2 linked regions of the Oryctolagus cuniculus genome follow. The protein of the gene in region 2 interacts with the protein of the main gene of each other region in a biochemical or structural test. Links are inferred from orthologs where the notes say so. Each region holds a gene or a part of one and is shown on either strand. Other genes may lie near its edges.

The links.
Region 1: the proteins of CFTR (region 2) and NHERF4 form a complex in vitro, tested with the Homo sapiens proteins (2 studies listed by BioGRID and IntAct, with this or other methods). The link is inferred for Oryctolagus cuniculus from reciprocal best matches to the Homo sapiens genes CFTR and NHERF4.

The regions. Positions count from the first base shown.
Region 1 is NC_091432.1:111,120,778-111,128,894, reverse strand, and holds NHERF4 (Na(+)/H(+) exchange regulatory cofactor NHE-RF4), read left to right. Parts: upstream 1-3,347; 5' UTR 3,348-3,926; coding exon 3,927-3,942; intron 3,943-4,358; coding exon 4,359-4,380; intron 4,381-4,520; coding exon 4,521-4,594; intron 4,595-4,886; coding exon 4,887-5,098; intron 5,099-5,259; coding exon 5,260-5,449; intron 5,450-5,539; coding exon 5,540-5,676; intron 5,677-5,865; coding exon 5,866-6,070; intron 6,071-6,219; coding exon 6,220-6,416; intron 6,417-6,500; coding exon 6,501-6,728; intron 6,729-7,195; coding exon 7,196-7,396; intron 7,397-7,594; coding exon of another isoform or gene 7,595-7,627; exon of another isoform or gene 7,628-7,675; coding exon 7,676-7,861; 3' UTR 7,862-8,082; downstream 8,083-8,117. Other genes in the region: NLRX1 (NLR family member X1), read left to right, coding at 504-590, 1,691-1,942, 2,331-2,652.
Region 2 is NC_091434.1:153,027,611-153,035,757, forward strand, and holds the start of CFTR (cystic fibrosis transmembrane conductance regulator), read left to right. Parts: upstream 1-2,681; 5' UTR 2,682-2,691; coding exon 2,692-2,942; intron 2,943-3,241; exon of another isoform or gene 3,242-3,341; coding exon of another isoform or gene 3,342-3,394; intron 3,395-8,147. UniProt on the Homo sapiens protein: Epithelial ion channel that plays an important role in the regulation of epithelial ion and water transport and fluid homeostasis. Mediates the transport of chloride ions across the cell membrane.

The sequences.
Region 1 (8,117 bases), on a different chromosome or scaffold from region 2:
GGGAACCAAAGGCACTGAGAAAGAACCAGCAGGTGTGTGTTGGCCCCTCTGCTGTTGCTAGAGCAAAATACCTTAGCCTGGGTACTTTCTAAAGGAAAAAGGCTCACTGAGCTCCCAGTGTTAGAGGCAGGGAGTCTGGGAACAGGTGGGCCCCTTGGTTTGGCCTCTGGTGAGGGCCCCTGTGGCCACATCACCGCATGACAGAGGAGCAGAAGAGGGGACAGCTGTGTGTGGAGGAGGCCACACGCACGGGGTGGTCCTGCTTTATGATAGCCCACTCTCGGAGAACGGCATCAATCCCCTCTGAGGGGACCTCAGCCCCGTGAAGCAGGTCCCACCTCTCAAAGGTCTGGCGTGGGTAGAGGTGGGGGGAGCGGCAGCGGGAGGTGGGACAGGTGTGGACTGCAAGGCAGGCTGGTGAGGAGAGGGCGTGGTAGATGGGCAGGCTCCTTGCTGAACTGTGTCCTCGGCCTCTCACCTCCCCCTGCCACCTGCCACTCCAGCCTGCAACTCAACAGCCTGGGCCCCGACGCCTGCAGGGACCTCCGAGACCTGCTGCTGGACGAACAGTGCCAAATCAGCACGCTGCGGTGAGTGCCGGCGGGAGGCTTTGGCCACCGTGATGGCCAGCTAAGGACAAGGGTGAGCTCCCTGCCTCACCATGCACCTGTCACAGGCCCACTGTATCGTACAGGGGCTGGGACTCAGCTCTGCCTTGCTGCCAACTCCTAGTCCGTTATAAGCAGCAGTGCAGGGGATGCCACCAGTAACAGGTGCTGAGAAGTCTCTCACATGGCTAAAGCCAGCCTCGGGCGGGCAGGGGAGAGGGTGAGTCCCACCTAGGCCGCTTGCCTGGTAACAGGGCCACTGCCCCCTCCCAGGATTTTCCCCGTAGCTTCCCCCGGCTGACCCAGATGCCGACTCTCGGGAGATGCTCCCCAGGTGTTGGCTGATGTCCTAGGAACCCAAACACCTGGGTTCCAGTTTCTGGTTGAAGTAAGGGGAGGCAGATGAGGAGGGAGAAAGGAAGAAGGGAGAGAAGGAAGGGGAGCCGGAGGGAGAGAGGACAGGGGCTGGGGAGGGGGCAAAGGAGCCCAAGCACTTGGGCCATCTTCTGCTGCTTTCTCAGGAACATTAGCAGGGAGCTGGATCAGAAGTGGAGCAGCTGGGATTCGAACCAGTGCCCATATGGTGCTGCAGGCCAGGGCTTTAACCCACTGTGGCACAGCACTGGCCCCAACCCAGTGGGTGGGTTTTGTTCCTGGCTCTGGCTCCTGGGAGGCAGCAGATAATGAGTTTCTGGCTCCCTACTTTGGCCTGACTCAGTCCTAACTGTTGTGCGGATTTGGGGACTGAATCAGCAGATAGGATACCTCTCTCTCTCTCTCTCTCTCTCTCTCTGCCTTTTTTAAAAAAACAACAAAAACAAACAAACAAACAAAAAAACAAAGCAGAAGGGAAATAGTAATGATGAGGAAGGGGAGAGGAAGAAGAGGAGGAAGGGAGTGGTCAGTTTCTTCCACATTCTCCCTCCTCTGCACCCCCTGTCTCTCCACCTCCTTCTCCTGGGCCTGCATTTCTATGTCCCAGCTCCTCTGCCCCATGCCGTGGCTCCTCCGGCCAAGTCCTGGTGCTCAACCCAGGCCGTCCGCCACGGGTCCTCCTAACATTGGGTTGTTTGTGGCCATAGGCTGTCCAACAACCCGCTGACAGCTGCAGGTGTCGCCCTGCTCATGGAGGGGCTGGCGGGAAACACTTCGCTGACACACCTGTCCCTGCTGCACACCGGCCTTGGAGATGAGGGCCTGGAGCTGCTGGCCGCCCAGCTGGATAGAAACCAGCAGCTGCAGGAGCTGAACGTGGCCTACAATGGCGCTGGCGACACCGCGGCCCTGGCCCTGGCCAAGGCTGCCCGGGAGCACCCGTCCCTGGAGCTGCTACAGTGAGTCCTGTCCCTGGTCCCATCGTCCCCACATGCTGAATCCTCCTTCCCTTTCTCCACTGGGCTTTTTCTGTCCAGGGAGCGGCCCTGGGCCTGGTGCCTGTCCTCTCCTCCGGCTCCTGATTGTCGCTTGTTAGCCGACCCACCTGCTTTGGGACTGGTCCTGCCCCTGCCCTGATTCCCTGCTACTGTTTCCCCATCCCTGGTCCCTCTGAATTCCCACGCTATTCCCTGCCTCCCATGGTGGTGAGCACCCACCCGTCTGGCTCACTGCACACCATGGCCTGCTGCATTCCGCAGGCGGGATGGGGGTTGTGGTGCCCATTGCCCTGAGGCCCTCCGTCTCGGAGCCCCGCTGAACAGCACCCACTCCTCTCTCTCCCGCTAGCCTCTACTTCAATGAGCTGAGCTCCGAGGGCCGCCAGGTCCTCCGGGACCTGGGGGCTGCTGCTGGAGGCGGCGCCCGGGTGGTGGCTTCTCTGACAGAGGGGACGGCAGTGTCTGAGTACTGGTCCGTGATCCTCAGCGAAGTCCAGCGGAACCTCAACAGCTGGGATCGGGCCCGGGTCCGGCGCCACCTCGAGCTGCTGCTGCGGGATCTAGAAGACAGCCGCGGGGCCACCCTCAATCCTTGGCGCAAGGCCCAGCTGCTGCGGGTGCAGGGCGAGGTCAGAGCCCTTGTGGAGCAGCTGGGAGCCCCCGGAAGCTGAGCACCAGTGCCAGCAGGCACCCCAGCTTGTGACCACTGGCCCCGAACCCCTTCCCTCTGTGGCCTCCTGGCTTGGACCACCCCTTCTAGAAGGAGCCCTTCAAGGCTGGAGGCAAAGGAATGGGCAGAGCTAGGCCAGCTGCCCTCCTGGGAGCTGCCCAGTCAGTGCCCCCAAGTCTTGATGGCTTGGCTTGGAGCTGCACATGCCTCCTCTCCCTTTAGGGTGGCTTGATTGCCCCGTGGCACTGCCACCAAAGCTTGTCTCTCTCCCTCCTCTCAGGGAGCCTCTGATTGGGCCATACTTCTTACATTGGCCATGCCCGGGGTGTTGGGAGGGCCTGGGCCTGCCTCTTGCCCCTCTGTGGACACTGTTGGTGCTCACACACTGGTGCTCCCCCTCCGCCCTCATGGTACTGATGTTGCCCAGGGCAGGTGTAGCCAGCTCGCTGCTAGTAAAAAGCCGTGTGTCTTCCACTTCCCGTGCCTTCTCTTCCTTGGCTGGGGCTTCTGAGAAAGGGCACTGTTCTGGGTCATTCTGGTTAAACTACTGGGGCTACTTTGTGTTGCAAGTGGTTCCTGGGCACTGGGACCAGAGGCAGAGGGGACTGGAGGGCCCCATGAACAAGATATTAGGATCGGGATTGGCTACACTATTGTGCCTTTTTTTTCTTTTCTTTTTTTTTTTTTTTTTTTTTTTTTTAAGATTATTTACTTCTTTGAGAGGCAGAGTTACTGACAGAGAAATACAGAGCTGTTCCATTTGGTGGATCAATCCCAAATGACCGCAACAGCCAGGGCTGGCCAGGCTGAAGCCAGGAGCTTCTTCTGGGTCTCCCGCTTGAGTGTAGAGGCCCAAGTACTTAGACCACCTTCTGCTGCTTTCCAAGGTGCATTAGCAGGGAGTTGGATCAGAAGTGGAACAGCCGGGACTTGAACCACCATCCACATGAGTTGGCAGTGTTGCAGGCTCCGGCCCATCACTCTTTTCATACTTACCCTCTGCTGAATGCCAGTGACCAGCAACCTGCCTGTCTTTCCCAGAGAGGCTCCCGGACCGCTGCAGGGCTCCGAAGACAGCTAGGGCCCAGAAACAGCAGCAGGAAGGGCACGCACACTTCCCCAGGGGATAAGACTCTTCCTCCCCGTTAACCATTACCCCACTGCTTCCCAGGCAGCGTCTTCAAGGAGGCGGGACCTGGGAGGGGGTGAGTGGGAGGGTCAGCTGGTTGAAATGGACCTTGTCCCTGCTCTGAGCACTGGGCGACTGGTCCAACCATGAAGGCAGCTGCAGGTACGCGGCCGTGAGGAATCCTCCGGAGGGGGACTTGGGGGCAGTCTGGGGGCAGAGACGGAGGCTGAGGTTTTGGGACCCGGGCACCCTTGATGTTGGGACTTGAAGCCCTGGGGCAAAGAGAAGTTAGGAGAAAAGAAAGGCGCTGACACAGCTGTCTTCCTGGCCCACACCCTGTACTGATATGCTCAGATTTATGTTCCCAGGATTTGGGGGGGCGGTGGGTGGGGAGGCGGAGCCACAATGCCCTTGTGGGTATGACATCAGGGAGAAGGAAAACCCTTCCGTATTGAAATGGAGGGGTGAGTCCTGAGTTTGGGGCTTCCCCTACTTCCTTTCAGTTCCTGACCACAGAAGGGACGTCTGGGGGGTGGGGTGGGAATACGCCTCTCCTCACCCACTTCCTCGCCCCGCAGATCTTCAGGACACAGCAGCCCTGTAAGTGCTACCAGGGCGGGGGCAAGGTGGGGAAGGCAGCGAAGGCAGGACGCTGTTGTGTTGCCGTTAGCACCTGAGTACGGCCTGGAACCTGCGTGCAGCGCCAGCTCCTCCTACCTCCTCCCCCTGCCTCCTTGCAGGAAGTTTAAGTTTAATCCAAAGCTGGGCATTGATAATCCTGTCCTCTCCCTGGCTGAAGACCGAGACCCCTCTGGTAATCCCCTCCCCCTGGCAACCGCCCCCCTTTCCCGGAGCCATCACAGCTCCTCACAGCCTCTCATCTCCTTGGTAACCACTCACTGTCACGGTGATAGCCGTGGTTGGCAGTAACTGGGTGGAGGCCGGAGTGGGCCAGGGTTTCCCCTGCACGTCCCCTAACCGGGTGGGAGCCCACCTCGTGCCCCATCAGGAGGCGGGGCTGCCAGGCACGCGGTGCACCTATACTTGGGCCACGCCTCCTCCTCTCCCCCTTTCCTCCTGCCCCCCCCCATTCCCTCCCCTTCCAGATCCCTGGAGCCTGGAACGGCCTCGCTTCTGCCTGCTGAGCAGAGAGGAGGGCGGGAGTTTTGGCTTCCACCTGCAGCAGGAGGCGGGCAGGGCTGGGCATGTGGTGTGCAGGGTGGACCCAGGCAGCTCTGCCCAGCGCCAGGGTCTCCAGGAAGGGGACCGGATTCTGGCGGTGAACAATGACGTCGTGGAACATGAAGACTATGCAAAGGTGAGGCTGGGCTGGCACCTCCTGGGCCCCACAGCCACAGCCTGGGGTTTAGGAGCATCAGGGTCAGAGGGGTTGTGTGGAGGCCTCTAGAGAGCTGGTTCCCATGGTGAACACCCAGGTTCCCGGGGGCAGCCCACACTTCCTCCCATGCCCTCCACTAGGTGGTGCGCTGCATCCGGGCCAGCGGCCCTCGGGTGCTGCTGACGGTCGTGGCGCGACACGTGCATGATGTGGCCCGAGCTCAGCACGGGGACGACGCCCACCTCTGTCCTGCCCTGGGCCCCCAGGTCCGGCCACGGCTGTGCCACGTAGTGAAAGATGAGGGTGGCTTTGGCTTCAGTGTCACCCATGGTGAGCTTAGTGGCTGGGCTGGGCGGGGCGGTTGTGGTGGAGGTGGGGGTGGCAGGCTGCAACTTGCTAGTTTTCCCGCTCTGGTCCCAGGCCATCGGGGCCCTTTCTGGCTGGTGCTGTGTGCTGGAGGAGCGGCTGAGCGTGCAGGGGTGCCCCCTGGGGCCCGGCTGCTGGAAGTGGACGGGATCAGTGTGGAGAAGTTCACTCACAGCCAACTCAGCAGGAAGGTATGGCTGCCACTGCCCCTTGCCTTAAGCAGACTCCTCCCCCATGCATGGAATCCCCTGATGGGACCTCCTACCTGGTCACCATCCTTCCCTCTCCCTTGTGCCTGGGGAGGTATGCTGGGAGGAGGTGCCCACCTCTCCACTCCCTACCCAGGAAGTAGATACTGATGCCCTGCTGGGTCCCTACAGCTTTGGCAGAGTGGAGAGCAAGTGACCCTGCTGGTGGCAGGGCCAGAGGTGGAGGAGCAGTGTCGCCAGCTGGGAATGCCCCTGGCTGCGCCCCTGGCAGAGGGCTGGGCACTGCCCACCAGGCCCCGATGTCTGCAGCTGGAGAAAGGGCCTCAGGGCTTTGGGTTCCTGCTCCGGGAGGAGAGGGGCCTTGATGGTCGCCTTGGTGAGTGGAAGTCCTGGGGGTGGGGAGGGCAGGTGAACCTGGGGCGGCCCCACAAGTGTGTATTCCCCGCCCCCCGTGTGCATGCCTGTGGTGGCTTGGGGTAGAACTGAGTGTGAGTGGGGGGAGCAGTGAGGATGTCTCTGCCCTAGGGCAGTTCCTGTGGGAGGTGGACCCAGGACTGCCTGCCGAGAAGGCCGGGATGCAGGCTGGGGACCGGCTGGTGGCTGTGGCTGGGGAGAGCGTGGAGGGGCTGGGCCACGAGGAGACAGTGTCCAGGATCCGGGCACAGGGCGCTTGTGTCTCTCTCGTCGTCGTCGACCCTGAGGCTGACCGCTTCTTCAGAATGGTGCGTGCTGAGGGCCAGGGCTAGGGAGGGGGAAGCCAGGAGCGAGGCGCAGGTGCCACAGGTGCGCTCGCTCTGGCCCTCCAGGTGCGCCTCTCCCCACTCCTCTTCTTGGAGCACACAGAGGCCATCACCGCCACCCAGGACACCCACGTGGCTGCTCTGGTTGAGTCCGAGGATGCGTGCCTTGAAGATGCCGCCGAGCCTCCACTCCCTCCTGGCTCCTGCCGGTGCCTCCTGTACCCTGGGCCTGGCGGTGGCTATGGCTTCCGACTCAGTTTTGTGGCCAGTGGGCCTTTTCTCTTTATCTCCCAGGTGACTGATGCCCCCTGGAGCTTGGGTCCTTTGCAGCATTTTTTAAAAAAGATTTATTTATTTATCTGAAAGGCAGAGGTACAGAGAAGGAGAAGCAGAGAGAGAGAGAGAGAGAGAATCTTCCACCTGCTGATTTACTCTCCAAAGGCCACAATGGCCAGGGCTGGGTCAGTCTGAAGCCAGGAGCCAGAAACTTCTTCCAGGTCTCTCACATGGGTGCAGGGCCCCAAGGACTTGGGCCATCTTCCGCTGCTTTCCCAGGTGTATTAGCAGGGAGCTGAATTGGAAGTGGAGCAACCAGGACTCAAACCAGTGCCCATGTGTGATGCCATTGCTGTAGACGGCATAGCACAGCCCCCTTCCCAGCATTTCCTCCTGATCAGTGCCCATCTCCCTCCCTCCTAGAGCCATAGAGCACTGGCACCCGGCAGACTCCCCCATGGCCTTTCCTTGTTCTGTGCCGTCAGGTGACTCCAGGAAGCTCCGCTGCCCGCGCAGGGCTGCAAAGGGGAGACATGGTTCTGGAGGTGAACGGGGTCTCCGTGGGTGGAGATGGCACCCCGCAAAGGCTTCAGCAGCTGGCGGAGGCGGAGCCACCCCTCTGCCTGAAGCTGGCGGCCAGGTCTCAGTGGGGCTCGGAGGCCTGGACTCCCCCCGGGTCTGGAGAGGTGAGCAAGAAGAGACAGGTGGGACTGCGAGCGCCAGCGAAGGCCAGAGTGGGACGGCTGCAGGGTGGGACTTCAAGTCACGGGGTCGGGGGGCAGAGAATCCACGGAACAATGCCACTCCTGCACATTCGGGGGCAGTGGGGGCAGGGCGAAGGGACACTCAGGGTCCAGGGACAACCTTCTGCCATTGTCTCTGAGCAGGACTGGGCTCTCCCCTCGGATGTGCTGTAGAGCGCCTCAGCTTGGCGAGATCTCCCAGGGCCTCTCGTGTCTTCACAGCCAGCCCGAGGTGGTGGCAAGGATGCTGTCACTCAGCCGGAAGCTGGGGCTGGAGGACTCGGACACCGCCCACCGCAGCACTGCCCGGGAGCCCCCTCCCTTGCCATGGCCCAGCTGTCAGCAGAAGGGCTGGGGCAGAGGCCTCGGGGGCCTCAGGTGCCGGGGGATGTCCCTCGGTGGCTGTAGATGGCTGCACCCCGAGGACTAAGTTCTGCCTGAGAAGGGGGTGCTGTGGGGCTGGCTGGGCTGGAAGCCCTCTGGGACTTGACCTAGGTGCCACTCTGGGACTCTCTGGGTCCAAGAATTGGGAGACCCAGCAACCCCCTCCCTGAGTGGGCACCTTCGGGCTGGGGGGGCTGGCCCCTGGACGCTGTGTGTCTGTTATTTAAATGGCCTTTCCCCATAAATCGGACTGCCTGTGTTTTTGTTGGTGGAGATATGG
Region 2 (8,147 bases):
GAAGCCAATGTCTTGCCTTCTGTCTTGTAATGAGCTTTGGTTTACTAGGGAGGTGACGTGTTCTTTCCTCTCTTTATTTTGCCAGTTTTTAGTGCACACATGATTTCTACTCATCTATCACTATTAAACCCTACTCAGGACAGAATCCAAGGAACATAAGCAAATGAAGCTGACATGATGGATAAATTATAGTGCAGGTTCATCTCACGATCTCTAATGGTAAAACTTCGGACACTGTGTGACAGGATGAGTAAAGTAAGACTACAAGATTATCTCATGATCTTTCGTATACTGGGATGCTTTGTGGGAAGCACCTTGCTGAAGGTAGAGTAGTGACTAAATAAATTTTGGCTTCCTTTTCTCATCATCTCCTCTTCCATTGCCTAGATCTTTTTAATGTTCCTTTAAAATGATGCCACACAAATAGTCACCCAATTTCTTGTGTTTAAGGTCAGTCCTACTTAGTAGGAAATTCTATAGGGGAAATATGTGTAGTCATTAAGTTTGGGTTTAGATAAGATACTATTTAGGTTCAAATTCCAGCCTCTTCTGTTATTATTAATTATGAAACTTGCTTGGGAAAATTGCTTTTGTATCTCATGTTCTTCTCATGTAATACATGGATATTGAAAAATTACCTGTACTACAGTGGTGTTAAAAGGATTAGAAAAGGTCAACCATGGGTGCATTTATCATCATGCCTGGCAATATGGCGCCCAATAGGTATAAGCTATGGGTATTATAACATTGTTACAACATAATATGGGTTGGTGTAGAGTAGCTTAGAGAGAGAAATCTTACTGTTTCTTACTGTCCACTTCAACACTTATCGCAGACCACTGACCTCTTTCCTAACTGGACATCTCAAAGCCATGTGTTGGATTTCAGTCATGACCTTCAGCCGTATTTAAACACTTCTTTAGTGCATGAGTTCGTATTCCTGTATTAAGCACCTATCTAGATGCAAATACTGAAATCCTGGGTAAGTTCATTTGGACATGTCTGCTGGCAATGTGAAAGTTCTGAATGACAGTGAAGACTGACTTCTGCCAAAATAAATTTGTGTTGCTTTTATGGTAACGATCTATGGTCTTCCTATACATGTGTGTGTACACACTTATGACAGAATATTGTAGTTCAGTGTTATTTATTAAAATATGTAATTCTGGTAGCTGCTTGATTTATAGATTTCTGCTTTTATGTCTCATTGTTAAACAGGTTTTAAAGTTTTGATTTCACAAAACCAGTGTAAGGAGAAAGACTGGGTTTGGTGGCTGGCAAAATGTAAACAAAATTACATGGGTGATTTGACTAGGGGCAATACTATATGCTGAAAGGAGAGATTGGAAATAGACCTGAGTTTGATCTTGGCTTTATCATTAGTGGCATTTATTTAACTCCTCTAGTCTGTTTCCTAGTTGAAGATTGAGGATAACAACACTTACTCACATGGTGAGCGTGAGGTTTGCATGAAATGATGTGCAGCAAATAGTAAGAACTCAGGTGACTATTTTATTTATTCTTTCCAGAGGAGGGAGATTGGTTGAAAAGTATTTGGGGTCTCCTTGAGCCATACTCATTGGTCAGCTTCTGTAATCTTGAAGTGGATTCTTCATCCCTTCATTGTCATTGCTCATTGATAACAACAAGGAAATAATTGCCAATTGTTTTCAACATTTGTGTCTTACATTTGATGGGTCATGCTAGTAGGGAGAAAACAGACTTAGGATGGTGAAGTGGATGAAGTAAGTTCACTCACACTCCTGAGAAAAGTCAATAGGGAAAACAGAGCCTCAAGTTTTGTGATACTGGAGAGAGGAAAACACCAGCACAGTCTATGAAGCAAGGGTCATGAATTAGAAATGCTGAAATTCTTTCCCGATTCATCCTGTCATCATTTTGTTCCATCTCTTTGCTCTTCTATTCTCTACTATTAAAATTCAGTGCAATAAAATGTGAATGTTTCTTAAAACCCACTTTAAGATAGAAGGGAAAAAAGATGACATTAAAATGCAAAGGAAAGTGATCAAAACCTGCGGAACACATTCATGAATTGAAATGTATGTTCCTTTCTATCATTATGCTAGCACTTTTTTTTTTTTTTTTTGACAATAGAGTTCAGAAATTAAAGGCTTGGCTCTTTAAAATCCACACGACAGGCACCCAAACCTGGGAAGGAAGGCGCCCACGCTTAGGAAAGGGTAGGTGCCCTCAGATTCAGTCAGATCAAAGTTAATGCGCCACCTTCGCTTCAAAGGCTGCCTGGATTCCTTCCGGCGCAGTAGTCAAGACGTTTTGCTGAACGAGACCAGGAAATCCATAGGAGGGCGGGTGAGTTTACATACTGTCCAGTCGTCACTGTCGCTTAGGCACACAAAAGCCTCCTTAGAAACGCAAGCTAGACTAGTAAAAACTTCGTAAAGACAACTAACAACTCTCCGGCGGCGACGGGCAAGGCACTAGCTGCTCTTACCTCTTTGCAAGATGTTGACATTTTCGTCCCCCCAAGTGCGTCTCCAAAGGTGTCTTAGCCGCAGTTGGAGCGCACCTAAGCCTGAAACTAACAACGCTGGGTTCTTCCCCAGCCCCGCGAAGGAGGCGCGAGGGCGAACCCACCAGGCACAAACGCAGGACCTGCCGGCTCTCCAAGGCTGCATTTTGATGCTGGAGAGAGGTATTTCCCTTTTCAAAATGCACCTTGCAAACCTTACACGAACCCGGCTAGGATCCGGGGAAAGAGGAAGAAGAGAAAGAGGAGGAGGAGGAGGATGGCACAGGGAAGCTGGCGGCGGCAGGTCCCGGGGCCGGAGGGACCTGGTGAGGAGGAAGGTCCAGGAGTCTCGCCGCGGTGCTGCCGCTCCTGCTCCCGCTGGTGGCTCTGTCTTCAGGCGTCGCCGCCCGCACCTGCAGAGCGGCCGCGCGGGCTGGGCTGCGGCTGGACGGTAGGGACGCGGAGCTGCACGGAGCGCGCGCGAGGGAGGAGGCCGGGAGTCCGCGGCGGGCGAGGGAGGCGTGGGGCGGCGCAGGCGGGAAGGAGGCGAGAAGGAAGGAGCGGCCGGGGAGCGGCCGGGGCGCGCCGGGGCGGAGAAGGCGGCTGGAGCGAATGTGGGGCCGGCCAGGCAGCGCCGGGCTTTTAACCTGGGCAGCGGGGGCGGGGGAAGGAGCAGCAGGAAAGGGGAGGTGTGTGCCATGGGGGTGGGTGGGGGGAGTTGGCGGCAAATGACATCACGGCAGGTCAGAGAAAAAGGGGTGAGCGGCGGGCGCGGAGAGGAGCAGGGCGTCCGGCAGTAGGAGCGCGAGCCCAGCCTGCCCCGGCAGGCAGCCCGGCGCTCCGAGAGACCATGCAGAAGTCGCCTCTGGAGAAGGCCGGCGTCCTCTCCAAACTTTTTTTCAGGTGAGAGGGTGTTCAGCTGAGCTGCGCAAGCACACGTGCCTACGAAAGAGGAGGGAGAGGATATGGGCAGGGTTCGGGGAGAGAGGACTAGTGTTTTTGTTCTCGGTTCTTAAGAGATGCGCTGTCATGGTTTTGAAAGAAAACGTGGATTTGGAGCAATAAGATGGAAAGCGTTAAGAAGAGATGGAAGAATAAACTGAAGCCCATTGTTGGGGTAGAGCCAAGTCTGCTTGCAACGGAAAGGCAGACTCTTAGACCCAAGTGGGCTACTGTGAAACTGTTTTCTTCGATTTCTCCAAGAAACTTATCGGTGACAAAGCTATTCATAAAGGATTCTTGTTTGCGCCGCCGTTTCCCCCATACATGTTTAATAGAAACTTGTTTTCTTGGCACTCATACCACGTGTCACTCCTGCATGTAGTAGGTGCTCAGAAAACATTTGTTGACTGAATTAAAAAATGGGGGCTGGGGTTGGAAATTATGTGATTAAACAAAGTTTTCGTTGTTAGAATCCCAAGTAAGTCTAACAAGCCTTTGCAGAATTCCATTGTTCTTCCTGTTATGAAGGAAATCAAATCCATTGAAATAGGTATATTCAAAATGCTAATAGTACCTATTATTAATTTAAGAACATCAGAATTTTGCAAAGTGTGAAACCCGGGGAATAGATGCTGAAGTTATAACCAACTGACATGGAAGAGATTGTGCTCCTATCCTTTTTTGCAAATGAACAGCTAGAAAAGCTTGCAAACTCCTTCTAATGAGATTTTTAAAAATAGAGTTTAAATTCAGAGTCTTAGGTGAAGTGTAATTAGATGTAGCGTTTCGTGTTTCAAGTGTTCTTTAGGTACCGCATCTACTTTGTTCCTGTTGCTATACCTGTGTGAGTGAACCAATAGGGGCAGCTCTCTCCCAGGATGCTGCCAGGCTCATAATTCTCCAGTGAATCAGCATGCTAAAGTATTGGAAAAGTCAACTCTGCTACAAATATGCCCATAAATGTGTGTATGAGAAAGTGATTCACAGTCCTCTGAGCTCTGATTCTCTACACGTGCTGCAAACCTGAAACCCAGGTGCAAAGGAGAGGCCATTGGCCCCTGAAGGAGATCTCCTCCTTGTGGATGGGGCAGAAGGACTTTACTCTTTGGAACTGCCTTTCTTATTGATGTTTACAGCACCTTTTATTACTTTGTAAAATTGGCCTGTTTATCTGTTTCCTATTACTTCTAAAATCACATTGCTAATTGGCAATAATTGGAGACTTTTTATCCACAGCACTTTGAGGAACCCAATTGCCAGTCAGTCTAAAAATGCAGTTTTCAGAATGAATATCCCATGGTTAATTCTAAGGACTAAGAGACTTTAAATAGCATATTGTTCATCTTTTCAATTGTTCATCAAACTTTTCAATTTTTATAGATTGGCAAACTTTAGTATAGTTTTAAAAAAGCTGTCAGGTTGATTTGGAAAGAAAATGTATTATAATGGCTATGAAATTTGTTGCGAGCATACTCATTTCTTTTCTCCAAACTATTTTATAATAAGTTGCTCTAAGAATAGGTGTGTTTTTAAAAATTAAGTTCCTACTATTAGAGGAACTGACAATCACCCAGAACTAGTGATTATGAACTTTCTTCAGGACTCTACTGCTAAAGGGCAAAAACCTCACTCTCTGCAATGGGTCAGGCAGTGCCGCTCACTGGTGAGGAGCAGCAGACTTTGGATTCAGATCTTTTGGATTCAAATCCCAGATCTACTGCTTAGTAGCTGTGTGACTTGAGGCAAATCCTGTCACATCTCTGTGTTCATGTGACTTGACCATTCAAACTTAGAGATTGATAGGACTTATGACCCAAGGGTTCTGTGATTGAGAAAATGCATGTTTATGTTAGCCCAGTAAGTGTTAGCTGCTGTTATCATTATAAATTACTACATTTGAACATTCTTTACAGTACCATGTGTCTTGTTTATATAAGGAGTGCAGTTCCTCTTTGCTGAGTATAATTCTGCAGTATAAGTCTGCATACACAATGAATCAGCCTGTATGAGAATTTGGGAAAATTTCATCTAACATGGTCTCACTAAGCATGCAATAAAAAAGTTTTATCCTTATATAATATGTTGTTAAATGTACTGGAATTTAATGTTCTGAATATGATCCCTTCTGTTTCAGAGTCATAAAAGAGTAAAACAATTATGGTCAGGGTTATGGAATATATTAAATAGCTCTTTAATTGTTTAGGTTATATCATTGGAAATCAAATGTTTGAGGAAAAATCCAAAGTACTTTCTTAATTTTACATGAATTTTAAATCAAGTACAAAATTTGGAAGACATCTGAACTATCATAATGCAAATATATGTATATATATATATGCACGCACACATATACATAAAATAACAATATAATGTTACCACAAAAAATTCAGTTTATGAATATGGTAGAAAATAAGTACATTAAGTTGTAGTTTTTAAGAAAAATCTTTACAAAATATGAAGCTGGTTTTAAACTAGATGTGATATTTGCATAGAATTTATGATTTGTATACCAGTTGGTTTGATTTACAAATGTTTATCAGTAAAGATTATGCTTTTTTGATTTGGAACAAATTTTTCCAGTTTCCATTTTGTTATGATTTTTAAAGTAGTGATTTGATTTGTTCTCTATTCTCTCATACCCTGAATTTCCCTCTCTGTCTAGTTGGCTTGTGTATGAAACTATGTATCAGGTGATATAACTTGGTTTTGGTCATAGTATCCAAAAGTTAAGATACCAAAAGTTAAGGTCTATATTGGAGGAGCTATGTATAACCCCACAGAAACCAAGTGTAAATGCTATAGATCTCTTATAAGACTGGGTATCGGACTCTCGCAAAAATTCTACAGATAAGTCTCAAGTAAGACCAGAGAAAAAATCTTAACATCTAGGGTGGAAATTCAGCCAAGGATTGTGAACTGTAAGTTTCAGGTTAATAGTAAGACACTTTAAGACACTTTTGTAATTGTTAAACATAGTAATGAGAGACTTTTAAACAAGTACTCTAGAATTTATACATTAAAATAGATGTGGACACTGAAAATAGCTACCAATGAAAACCATACCCTTGATTGTTTTGCCTTTGAACAAAGTATTTTTTGATCTCTTAATGTGGAATTATCTTTAAAATTTTATATAAATTTCTTCTCGTTAAATGTATAATAATTTCAATTCGTCATAGTCATTTTTAAAAGTTTTAGTATTATTTTTAAATGTCATTCATGTTACCATAGCTTTAATGTTTTAAAAATTTATTTATTTATTTAAAAAGCAGAGATACACACACACGCAGAGGGAGAGAGAGGGAGAGGGTAGGTGAGAGAGATAGACAGAAGAAACAGACATAGATCTCTCATGTACTGGCTCACTACCTAAATGCTGGCAACAGCCAAGGCTGGGAATTCAATCCAGCTCTCCAATCTGGTAGCAGCGACCCAACTACTTGAACCATCACTTGCTGCCTGCCAGGATGTGCATTAACAGGAAGCTGGAATTGGGAGTAGAGCCAGGACTTGAACTCAGGGACTTTGTTATGGAATGTGGGTGTCTCAGGTATTGTCTTAACTGCTAGGCCAGGCATCTTCTCCTGTTTTATTTTTATTTATTTTGAGAGGCAGAGGTGATAGAGAGAGAGAGAAAGAGAGAGAGACAGAGTGAGCTAGAGAGAGAGCTCTCTCATCTGCTTGTTCCCTCCTTAAATGACTACAATGGCTGGGGCTGGACTCAGCTAATCTGGGAGCCAGGAGCTCAGTCCAGATCTTCCATGAGGATGGCAGAGGCCCAATTTCTTGAACCATTGCTGTTGCCTCCCAGAATGTACATTAGGAGGAAGCTGGAGTCAAGAGCTGGAGTGGGTATTGAACCCAGATACTTCAACGTGGGATGTGAGTGTGTTAACCTACATCCTGATTGCTAGGCCAAATATCTCCCGCCATGGTCATTGTTATATACTTGCAGCTTGTGTTAAGTCATGTTGTCCAGACTGATCACTTAAGTCTGCTCCTAAATTATTTTTCCCTATATCTTAACATCAAAATTTTCATCGTAATTTGCCATATTAACAGACAAGTTTTAGTTACTGTGATCCAATAAATTGAATTGCAAACTTTAAAGGCAATTATTCAGAGAAAAGGAAATGCTTTGGGAATTGCAGCATAATTATAATAATTATGTAATGAAAGGTCCATAAAGAGGATAATTTTGAAGAAGACCAAACTTACTTGGCTATACATTATTATGGTGTATTATAAAAAGTCCATTGTAATGATTTTATATTTCTTTTATTGATGTGTTCATAGTGCATGAAGACAGCTGAAATTTTGACTGAGCCATAAATATTTTTTTTTTCAATTTGTTGGAGGTTTTTTGAAAGGTTGTCAATGGAAACCAGTTGGCTACTGAAACAAGGGTCTAGTCTGATCCTGATCAAAATTATCAGTTATCTCAGGGTTGGGTCTCAGGCGAGGTTTAGCTGTCCAAATCAAAAGAAATAGATGCATAAAGCAAAGGCCAATATGAGATGAATAATTCATATTGTGAGATGCCACTACCAAGGGTGCCTGAATACCATGAATCCATTTAGTCAGTCTATGGACAAATGCTCTCTCGTGAAGATGGTCCAGGGTTTCATACCCTGTCTTGGCTTTATTTGCTGTAGGGACTGAGGAGCCCATCTCTGGGATAGTGGCCCCTGTGTCCTAAACACTGGTGCCCAAA